3 linked regions of the Saccharomyces cerevisiae S288C genome follow. The main gene of each other region encodes a partner of the protein of the gene in region 3 in a complex. Each region holds a gene or a part of one and is shown on either strand. Other genes may lie near its edges.

Region 1 (3,873 bases), 620 kb from region 3:
AAATTTCTCTTTAACTATTATTTGGCGAAATTGCGAGAAATAATCAACCAAAGTAACATATGGTCCATTCTTGGAGATTTTATCAAAGAGTACAAAGACGATTTCGCGTATGATAAGACAGATATAACAAATTTTATTCATATCAAATTAAAGCATAGTCTTCAGTGCGAAAATTTTTCCAAATATTATGAAAAATGTGAAAACTTGAAATCGGAAAATGAAAAAGATGATGAGTTTATTAATTTCACCTTCGACGAAATTTCCAAGATCGATAAAGAACACATATTGACCTTGTTATTTTTCCCCAATGAATTAACAAACTGGGTTTCTTCCGAAGAATTGCTGAAAATATATTTGTCATTTAATGATTTCAGAAGTGTAGAAAAATACATAGGCAAGCAGAACTTGGTTGCGGTGATGAAACAATACTTGGACATATCTTCTTTGAATTACTCAGTTGAATTAGTGACTAATTTGCTACAGAGAAATTTTGAACTTTTAGATGATACAGATATTCAATTAAAGATCCTCGAAACTATACCTTCCGTATTTCCCGTACAAACAATATCCGAATTGCTTTTAAAGGTACTTATTAAGTATCAAGAAAAGAAGGAGGAATCTAATTTGCGGAAATGTTTGTTGAAAAATCAAATATCCATTTCTGACGAACTAAGCCGGAATTTTGATAGTCAAGGATAAGAAGAGCCCACCTATTCTTTTTCTGTTCAGGCATACAATTCAAATTTTATACGTACTAGATATTTACAGGTATGTAAGAATGAAATAACGATGTTTGATTTACTGTTGTAATTCAGAAATTGGTTTCATTCCAGAACAAACATCATATACCAATTTCTTTTCCTCGGAGCCCATAACAACAGATTGTAATGATAACCTCACAACTTGACTATTTTGTACGAGCTTACTCACAGTATCTTTAGATTTCGTCAGTTTTTCAAAATCTTTTTTCACATATGGTTTTAAGAGTTGATATTCTCCTGTTACTTGCCTATGAAAATCTTCTGGGTCTTCTTCAATAAGTAAATTCTGCAATTGAGGCTCTTTGGCAAAAATCAAGGAGGATCCTGGTGTATATTTACCAAAGTTTGGCGTGTTTAGGGTGAAATCATGTACTTTGAGGATTCCCAAATTTGGCGATCTGTAAATGGGGTAATTGGATTTTTTCAAGCTATCTAAGGTAAAGTTGACTAATCTGGATTCCTTTGTTGGAAAAACTTGAGGAGTATATTCTAACAAAGATAAAGGAGTGGGCTCTTCTAGTACATATTCTGAACTGACAGGTCTCTTGATAACCTTCTGTAGCTGCTGTTGAGGAGCCTTTCTCCTTTTAGATGCTGTTAAGATATGACTCTTTTTTTGAAACCTTGCTTTAGATTTGGGGGTTCCATTGAAATTAACAGGTTTTTGCTCCATCGACGAATTGAAGACATCAAGTAAATCATCTTCGACTCTCGCATCTCCTTTCAAATTATTTTTGCCATTCTGCATCTTTTTGAACTGTGGCTGCATAACTACTGTATTTCCAGTAGGATTCTTTACAAAAGACGTATTAGCACCTTTATTCCACTGCTGCTTGTTAGCACGAACAGAATCACTAGAACGGTTTTTCAGTCTCATGTTTCTTTCTCCTTGATTTCCCTCTCTACCCCTGCTTTCTTTATTGTTCATACTATTCCTATTCTGATTCCCGTTTCTCCTCTTATTTTGCATTCTACCCTCCTTCATCTTGTCCAATTTGAGAGCATTGGAGGAAGCTTTTGCTGTTGCCTCTTGAGCCCTTGCTAGAATGCTATTTATGAAATCTTCTGTGACACTTGTGCTGTAATGAGCGCGACTCACACATCTAAACATGGAGGAGCGCATTTTCTACTCCGTCTATTTCTCTTATTATGGCTCGTCCAACTAGATTATTTAATGAGTTACCGCTGCCCTTTTCCTCTTTTATGCTTTCTCCAGTTTCGTTAAGTTTAATTCCGCTATAAAGCTTTGTTCATTTCCGTCAAAAGGGATAAAGCACTAGCAACTACGCTGTTTCAGTAGCACATCAAATACAACAAGCTGTATACATGTACATACTACAAACAGAACAAATGCAACGATATATCGTGCTAAATCAGTTTATATGCCACCTAGCAAAGTTGCTAGGTACTAAAAAAGTATTTACATGTATATAGCTTCGAAGATAAAACAAAATCAAGGCATTATCATTGCTTTTTATCAGAGCATTTAAATGGTCTTGCCTTTAAGTTTGTTTTCACTCTTGCCGTAGGGTCTGCAATCGTCTCATTGTCACCCAATTCGGTGTCTTTGTGAATGTTCAAATGGTACCTAGGCTCCTTAGTACTTGAGCCATCAACCTTTTTGCCCTGAACCAGGTTTCGTCTCAAAAAAACAGCCACATCCTCTAAATGTTGAATCTGATCCTCTGTGGTGAGTTTAGGATCTGGGGGACATAACATTCCTGAACGCATTTTAGCTCTCGCGGCTAGTAATACTTCAGCATCATTCCGGAAAGCTATTCGGGTTGCTCTTAAGCCATGCCTGTATGCATTCAGGGCCTTTGTTCTCGTGCTCATAGTGTGTTAAATTTATATAATTTGTTCTTTTTATTCTCTTCAGTGAAACGCAAGCGTACCGAAAAATATAAGGAAGTCTTTTAGTCCTATCCTTTTCTCTTCCTCTCTTTCCTTTGTAGTAGGTTCACTTATTCAAACGTTTAATTTTTCGGCATTACTCACTTTAGTAAGACCAAAATTAATTAGGCTAATATAGCGAAGTACCTGTCAAAATGCGATCTATGATAAAAGCATGATGTGACGAATATCTAAAAAGGAATAAAGACTTTTTTTGCATTTAATTATTTTCTAACCTTAGATATATAATGTTATTTATTTGATTTTGTAGTAGTTGTAGGCCCATCAAGGGTGGATATGAGAATGCATTAATTTGTAAGAATCGATAATGGCTTTCAAGTGGCATACAGAACCAAGAACCACCATAATATGAAATATTTGATGAGAGCTACCGAAGAAATCGAACTTCCCTGGAGCCAAAGTTTCAGGAATCCTAAACCCGTAGATTACAGCCCCTGAAATGTAAAAGAGAGCTTCCCAAAACACAAAGCTGACTTTTATTCTGTTAAGAACCCCTTGGATACCGAACTTGAAAAACCCTGTGGTCAATGGGAGTAAGCCACTAAATCCAAACAATATGAAAAACATGGCCCTAAATGGACGAAATGTGGAAGTGTTAAACTTGTCGTGGAGGACACAGACTGTACAAAATGTTGCCAGGACTAAAGTAACAATCGTGAAAAGACTGAAGTAGGATATGTGGTCGAAGTAACCAAAGTATATTATAGGGATCATAGAACAGGAAATCAAACTGATAATCCCCAAGTAGTCGAGCTTGCTCCAGAAATTGCTTTGCTTTTCAGAGTGTTGCTTCATGCAGTGGAAACAGCTACTGCACATGAGACATGAGAAAGCGCCCATCAAGAAAATGTTTATAACGGTGTAATCGGACCAGGAAGTGGAGGGGAAAACGGGAATTAGAAAGTAGTTGGTCAACGTAATGGCAAACACGAAGTATACGATAGCCGGTACCAAATGTGTATAAATGTTCACAGTCTCGTTGTTCCAATAAAATAAAGAATATAAGCACTTTTTCCATGACAGTGTTTCACGAACGTACCCGGTGAGAATTTTGTCATTATCTTTTTGCCATTCTGGCAACTCATCGAAATTGTGTAGCAGTTTTTGCTTTTCAAAAACTGTCTGGCCTGAGACAGCTTCCACCTTAATGGAGGCTCTCGTTGCCTTGCAGCAGACACTATCTTGGTTTCTTCTTCTA
Region 2 (3,559 bases), on a different chromosome or scaffold from region 3:
TTGTTTTTATCATCTTGAGATGCAGTAGACGATATGCATTGTAAAGCAGTTTCTATATCAGATACCTGTAAGTTGTCCATAACGCAAGTTAATCCTTAGTATATCCTCAATAAATCCTTGATACTGATCTGTCAACGAGTATTTTCATGCCTTTTTCCTTCATTTATTTTTTTGTCAATATCCCTTATGTTCGAAAATTTTTTTCAATTATACCGAAAGCCTGAGCATCTAACAGAGAAATAGAAAATTGAAGTGAAATAACAATAATAGATGGTAAAGGTAAGAGATAATACTAAGGAAAGGAGATTAAGGAACACAGGAAGGATATAGAGCGAAAAACAAGAGGCTTGGAATGTCGAACAAAGTTAAAACCAAGGCCATGGTGCCACCAATAAATTGCATATTTAACTTCTTACAACAGCAAACACCAGTAACGATATGGTTATTCGAGCAAATCGGCATAAGAATCAAGGGTAAAATAGTTGGATTTGATGAGTTCATGAATGTTGTCATCGATGAAGCCGTGGAAATTCCTGTGAATAGTGCCGATGGTAAAGAAGATGTGGAGAAGGGCACGCCCTTGGGGAAGATCCTGTTGAAAGGCGATAATATCACATTGATAACATCAGCGGACTGAAAGAAAAAGGGGAACGAGAGAAATAGACAATTCGCAAGTGACGTATATACATGGGCATATTTATTCTCGATTTGATTTTTTTTTCTTCTTTTCTTTAGTTGTAATGCGTCTAAGGCACTTTCGAATACATGACATGTTGAAGTAGTATATATATTAGTTATTTACAAGTTGGTTGTATTATTATTATTACCATTATTTCCAGCTCCATTAGAGGTGGGGTTTAATTTGGAATCAATTTTATTGGAAATGTTTTTTAAATCCTTGTTCAGATATGAATCCACTAAAGAAATATCGAAAAACTTTTCGTTTGACAAAGAGCCCATTATTGCGTTGTTAATTTGGGTTTGTAGGGTGGTGTTACCTGAAAGTAATAATTTTCTATTTCCAAATTGCGTGAAGTTAGAAGTTACATCATAGGCATCAGTGAATTCCTCCGTTTCATCGTTAAAAACCTTATCAATTTTCTTTAGTAGTTGGGATTCTGTAACGATGAATTCATTAGCGACATGGTAGAGGTTTAATAATTCGTTTAGCTTTTTCTTGTGCGCCTGAAAGTTCAACAACGATCGATTGTAATTCCTTTTCAACTTCAACAATTCGCTCTCTTCTGGTGATCTGTTCCTTAAAAGAGGTTGAGACATCATTTTGTCTAGAGTCATAATAGTCAAGTCTGAAGATTTTTCCTTATTTAGTTTTTCTAGCTCCAGTTCTTTTGCTTTTTCCAGTTCCTTTGTCCTCTTCTGCAAATACTCGTGTTTGTGTAATAGCCTAGCCTCTTCCTTGCGAAATGCTTCAATCAAAAACTTTCTTCTTAATTCAGCTTTTTGTAATCTCACTTTCTGTGCTGAACCGTTACTGGATTTTATACTCTGGGGTTCAGCAACGGTCTTCGCAATGAGATTATCCACGTCGATAAAGTTTACCTTGGGTGATAATCTATGTGATCCTTTTGGATGTTTTACACCTTTGGCATACCCAATACCAAGAACACCCTTGGGCTTGGGTGATTTTACCTTATTAATAATATCAGTCTGCTTTGTAGTGGGGCTCTTCAGAATGGACCTTGTTGTGGGGAAAACCCCACTTTTAAAACCATACTTGGCCGCACCTTTCCCCATACTTCAATTATCCTTGTTATTATTGTTGTTGACAATCAGCAATGAAACTATTACCTAAATAATCCATATGTAGATTCTCTTCTTTATTCTACTCCTCTTGGGAATCACTTTCCTACTCGGCGACTTCAGGGTTCTACTTGCACTTCCGTTGCTAGTGATTTTTCATTAGGGCCAATATTTTTACCCTCATTACAAACCCTTTATTGTAAAAGCGGGTAAATTAGGGCCATGTTTCGTATTTTATAACCCGGCCGAGTGGCAAAATACCAAAAAGAAAGATGAAAAGGATAAACTAATAATTCAGCAGAAGGGTGATCAGTTGAGGTGGAGAGTTTGTATAGTAAAGCGTTAAATTTTTTCAGGAATACTCCCCCCACATAAACCTGATTGTAGAAAATAGAATTGAGTGAGCATGGCAGGTTTATCGTTCGACAATTATCAAAGAAATAATTTCTTAGCGGAAAACTCGCACACACAACCTAAGGCAACTTCCACGGGTACCACCATTGTAGGCGTAAAATTCAATAACGGAGTGGTGATTGCAGCAGATACAAGATCAACACAAGGTCCAATTGTCGCAGATAAGAATTGCGCAAAATTGCATAGAATTTCCCCCAAAATATGGTGTGCTGGTGCCGGTACCGCCGCCGATACTGAGGCAGTTACGCAGTTGATCGGGTCTAACATTGAATTACATTCCTTATATACCTCGAGAGAACCAAGAGTGGTCTCAGCTTTACAAATGCTAAAGCAGCACCTATTTAAGTACCAAGGTCATATTGGTGCTTATTTGATTGTTGCAGGTGTAGACCCTACGGGATCTCATTTGTTCTCCATTCATGCGCATGGTTCTACTGACGTGGGCTACTACCTTTCTCTAGGATCTGGTTCTCTAGCGGCAATGGCTGTGTTGGAATCACACTGGAAGCAAGACCTTACGAAGGAGGAAGCCATAAAGTTGGCCTCTGATGCAATCCAGGCTGGTATCTGGAATGATTTGGGGTCTGGTTCTAATGTGGATGTGTGTGTCATGGAAATAGGTAAAGATGCAGAATACTTGAGGAATTACTTGACTCCAAATGTTAGAGAAGAAAAGCAGAAAAGCTACAAATTCCCCAGGGGTACAACTGCTGTGCTGAAGGAGAGTATTGTCAATATTTGTGACATACAAGAAGAACAAGTCGATATAACGGCTTGAAAGTAAAACATAGAACTTAAGTATATTTTAGTATAGTAAATCATTGTTCAACAAAATGTGATAAAGGAAGTCAAAAACTAACCGCAAAACTATTTACATAATATATTTTCTTATAGCAGAGCTTATTATTTGTTCTTGATTCTTTTTCTTTTTTCTTTTTTTTATGCTTTGAAGTGTGTTAGTTGATTTTTGTTCGTTAATTTTCGTGTTAATTTATCCATCCATTTTAGCTATTTTATCACACAGAGCATAATATAACAAACACAGCTCAGTACCACACATATAACATAACACTAAAATTAACATTTCTATAGTCATCCGTTTGTTGGTCTTTAAAGGGCTATTACTGAGGCAAATATCAAGGAACTAAGAATACCACAAACGATACACTGATAATCAAGAAACGTATAAGGGAAAAGAGCACGATGGCAAGTGTCATGTCAAATAATAATAATAATAATAATAATAATAATGCCAGTTATATGTTTACGAACCCTTTGTCCAACACAGGTGGTGGACTCATAAATGAAATAAAAGATGCAATAAATGAAATGGAACAATTAAAGGTTCTAGAGTTAAAGCAAATATGCAAATCTCTGGATTTAT
Region 3 (3,896 bases):
CCTTTTGTTGTGCTATTTGAGACGTGGTTCCTGTGTTCACATTATTTGAAGCTGCTGTATGATGCTTCTTTCTTTTCTTGGGTACGCGAATACGTTTGACATAAGCCTGGTCGATTTGTTTGTCTAAATCTTCTAAAATAGATGAGTATTCCTGCCATGCTAGTTGTCTTTCCACTAGTGGAATCAATTGGGCTTTCCTCTTTTGGTTTTTCTTGGTCACTTGTTTTAAAGTGCCTTGCAATTCTCTTAACTCTGCGCTTATTTCGTCGTCTTCTCTACCGGTGACCCAATCGGGGTCATCTGAGTTAGGGTTGTTCTCATCCTTAGGCAAATTCATGTATATCCCTACATACTTTAGTTCTCTTTTCAATCGTTCTTCGAATGTTGGATAGTCCAGGTTAATTCCATTTGTTATCCACCCAATTTGTTGGGGTAACGTACTTGTAGTACCGCCATTACTGCCTTTATTTTCTGCCAGTTTTGCTTGGAAAGATGCTTCCTCATCAATGTCATTGTCAGGTGTTTGAACACTGGGCCCGTTCTCCTGAGATAATGTCATGTCTACAGTATCATTGTTGTTGTTTCTAAACGATTGTATATCGTCTTCCCCTCCGGTTCTCGGTAGTCCGCCATCCCGTATTATTTTAGAAGATTGCAATTCTGATTTGTCATTGTCATCTTTTAATACAGCACTCAACAGCCTAGATAATAAGGGCCCACACGATATACTGCCCGATTCCAAAGCATTATCATCAAGTTCGTTGGCACTTTTTTTTGGTAGTATAGTAGATGCATCGTTTGAATATGGTGAAGGTTTTTTATAGGCAGAATTTTTGTCGTTTTCATCTTTGAACCAAACATCTGTGTATAAAGGGCCTAGTTTCGGTATAATAAACGGGTTTACCTCAGGGTCATAAGTTTTGTCAAATTGCAAGCTATCGGGTATAATATATTTCATCTTCAAAAACTTTAAGTTGTCATCACTAAGATCTTTGAAAAAATTTTCCACAAATGCTAGAAAGGTATTGAATTGAATTTGGTTGGTTGGTTTAGGATGCGAAAAGTCCATATCCGGTAATTCACCTGGTAACAGATCTTTCAAATCATTTGTTGGATAACTAGCTACATTGTATTTTTTTTTTAGGAAGTCTTCTCCTGTACTTTCTAGTCCCTCTTCATTGAATAAGCCGAGTGCTGCTGCTGCTCGAGGTAACGTTTGCGATACTACAAATTCTGATTTTGGATTTTTAACAGTTGGATCGTTTTCCATTTTGTCAACGTCAATTTTTTGCTTCTTATTGTCTGGCCTCTGTGTGTTTTCATTTTCAGTGGCCCTATTTTCAGTTTCAGAATCGAACGGCCTCTTTTCTCTGGGTTGATCTCTATGAACTTGTAAATCTTTGTCTTCATTAATTTCTTCTTTAGCCATATTATCAGCCGCTTGTTTGATGCTTTCTACATCGTTCTCAATTGTGCCGGAGATTTCATTAGAAGGAGGAGGTTTTGGTGGGCTTTGTACCCCTTTATCAATTATATTCGTTTCTTCAGTAGCAGTAGAACTTTCGTGCTGCCCGTCTGCATTTGAAGTTTCCTGCTTTTCATCGTTTGCTTGCTTCTCATTTTTACTGTCTCTTATTTTCCGAAGCGCTTCAATGGTCTCTTGATCACCTCGGGCAATTGTACCCAGTATTTCATTGAGACTATCCAATTGACTTTGCAATTCAAGTAAAGTTTTTTTATTGGGTATGGACCTAACACTTTTGCCATTGAGCATTCCAATATCACGCTCGAAGGTCAAATCTAAAGTTTTAAGCATTGACGATAAAAGCTTTGACGGAGTATTGTCGCCTCCCTCCTTTTTAGGAAGTTTCTCGCCTTTTGGCAGTTTTCCTCTTCTTCCATGTCTAGGCATATGTCCTGTCCAATACTTCTCGTCGCTCCGTCTTTGTTATGTTTTTCCAACTTCCTTATTGTAATCGCTACCACGAATATTTCATTTGATGGCGTTCATTTAATGACTGCCTGCCATTGTTTTGTTGTCGTCGGCGAACCTTTATCGCGTTGCACGTCGGAGCTCTTTAATGAGTTCCGCTAAGAAATTACGCTAAATGGGACCTTTTCTGTAACTGATTCTGAGTATATTTCGATCTGTGAACAAGGCAGTAGAGTTACCGAAACATTTGACACTACTAAAATACTATTCTTAGGAAGATGAAAGTACCATTGGGGTTATGGAAAGTCTCTCGGGGTAATTTGTGGAGCACCCAGAAAAGGGTTTTGACAATGTCTAGATGTTTGAACAGTGATGCTGGTAATGAAGCTAAAACTGTGAGAGAAGGACCAGCTTTTTCAGCAGATCTCTATATGCATCCCGAAAAATGGAAGGGTTTACCTCCTCAAAGAATTTTAGAGTTATATTGGGAGAGAATGGCTAGATTGGGTTCAGAGTATAAACCTAACAAAGACGAACTGAATGCCTTATTAACCACTTCTGAGTACTCAAATGTACCTGTTAACGATATTAAAAAGCTATATCACAGAGGAGAACAAGGCGCTATTGATATAAAAGGTGGAAACGTGAATCGCGATAACAGTCTTAGACCGTTTATGTTTGATGAATTGCCATCGCAAGCTCAGGAATTGGTTGCCCAACATCGTGAACAAAGGTTCTATAATCGATTAGCCGCATATGAGTTACCGCTATTAGCTCAATATCGCCAGGAATACAAGAGACCATCTCCAGAAAGTCATCCGGTCACTTATAGATACACTAGTTATGTTGGCGAAGAGCATCCCAATTCGAGGAAGGTTGTATTAAGCGTTAAAACCAAGGAATTGGGCCTGGAGGAAAAATCATTACATAAGTTCAGAATATTAGCCAGGTCGCGTTATGATCATACTACAGATATTTTTAAAATGTCTAGTGACAAATTTGAGCATGCATCACAAAATGCACGTTATTTGCATGATATTCTTCAAAGGCTGTTAGCGGAGTCAAAAGATTTGACGGAGGACGATTTTAGCGATGTTCCCCTTGACACAAGGCATACTATAGCTAAGAGTTTACGTAAAAAGAAGCGGGATTATGAGTTTCCTGAACACTGGAAACGCCCTGAAGATGCACCAAAGAAGAAATTTGATATTGTAGATCAATTATTGAGCACTCTTTAATACATGTTCAAAAACAAAAAGAACGGCCCCCCTGTATATATTATGTATTTGTTTTGCTTCCTTCTTTTTCTCTAAAATGTACATAGTTTTAGCACAATACAACATTGAGAGGTTTGAAAAGGTATAATCGCAAATTTAGAACTATATACATACATATACACAACGAAAATGAAAAGGAAGATATACTGTTACAAGAGGAGAGGGATAGATACATATATATATATATATATGTGCATACACTATGGGCAAAGCAAGCCCATGCTGCTATATTTTATTCCTTTTTTTATTATTATATTTATTTTAGAAAGACAGTAGAGTAATAGTAACGAGTTTGTCCGTCCATCAAATAGAAGAGTTGGATTTGTCCTTCTTCTTATCCTTCTTCTTCTTCTTCTTCTTCTTTTCCGAAGATCCATCATCATCGTGAGGTCTCTTTTCCACAGGAGGTTCAGCGGCGTGCTGTAAACTGAAAGGAATTGGAACCGGCGCATGAGTTGGACCGTTTTCCAAGGAAGCTGGTGGTAGGGTACCGTTTTTCTTTGCTTCTAAGTATTTGGATTTCTCTCTTTGGTAATTCTCCAACTCGACGTTGTAAGCCTGCTTCCATTTTTCTTTTTCGTTATCACTCAATTCCTTCCATTTCTTGGAGATTTCTTGAGTAATCTCAGTTGAGGATAAAGGTGGCAAGCCAGCCTTTTGTCTGTCTTCACGAAGTTCTTGACGAA

What was found.
Region 1: RSM24 (region 3) and RSM28 share a complex: the UniProt entries of both Saccharomyces cerevisiae proteins name them as parts of the mitochondrial small ribosomal subunit.
Region 2: RSM24 (region 3) and PET123 share a complex: the UniProt entries of both Saccharomyces cerevisiae proteins name them as parts of the mitochondrial small ribosomal subunit.

Annotation. Positions count from the first base shown.
Region 1 is NC_001136.10:1,434,941-1,438,813, reverse strand, and holds RSM28 (mitochondrial 37S ribosomal protein mS46 RSM28), read right to left. Parts: upstream 1,885-3,873; coding exon 799-1,884; downstream 1-798. Other genes in the region: CORVET complex subunit VPS3, read left to right, coding at 1-699; MZM1 (Mzm1p), read right to left, coding at 2,226-2,597; IZH1 (PAQR-type receptor), read right to left, coding at 2,940-3,873. UniProt on the Saccharomyces cerevisiae protein: Component of the mitochondrial ribosome (mitoribosome), a dedicated translation machinery responsible for the synthesis of mitochondrial genome-encoded proteins, including at least some of the essential transmembrane subunits of the mitochondrial respiratory chain.
Region 2 is NC_001147.6:630,360-633,918, reverse strand, and holds PET123 (mitochondrial 37S ribosomal protein mS26 PET123), read right to left. Parts: upstream 1,756-3,559; coding exon 799-1,755; downstream 1-798. Other genes in the region: mRNA transport regulator MTR10, read right to left, coding at 1-80; mRNA splicing protein SME1, read left to right, coding at 353-637; PUP1 (proteasome core particle subunit beta 2), read left to right, coding at 2,168-2,953; SUMO ligase NFI1, read left to right, coding at 3,379-3,559. UniProt on the Saccharomyces cerevisiae protein: Component of the mitochondrial ribosome (mitoribosome), a dedicated translation machinery responsible for the synthesis of mitochondrial genome-encoded proteins, including at least some of the essential transmembrane subunits of the mitochondrial respiratory chain.
Region 3 is NC_001136.10:812,468-816,363, reverse strand, and holds RSM24 (mitochondrial 37S ribosomal protein mS35 RSM24), read left to right. Parts: upstream 1-2,211; coding exon 2,212-3,171; downstream 3,172-3,896. Other genes in the region: histone acetyltransferase NGG1, read right to left, coding at 1-1,912; HMO1 (Hmo1p), read right to left, coding at 3,514-3,896. UniProt on the Saccharomyces cerevisiae protein: Component of the mitochondrial ribosome (mitoribosome), a dedicated translation machinery responsible for the synthesis of mitochondrial genome-encoded proteins, including at least some of the essential transmembrane subunits of the mitochondrial respiratory chain.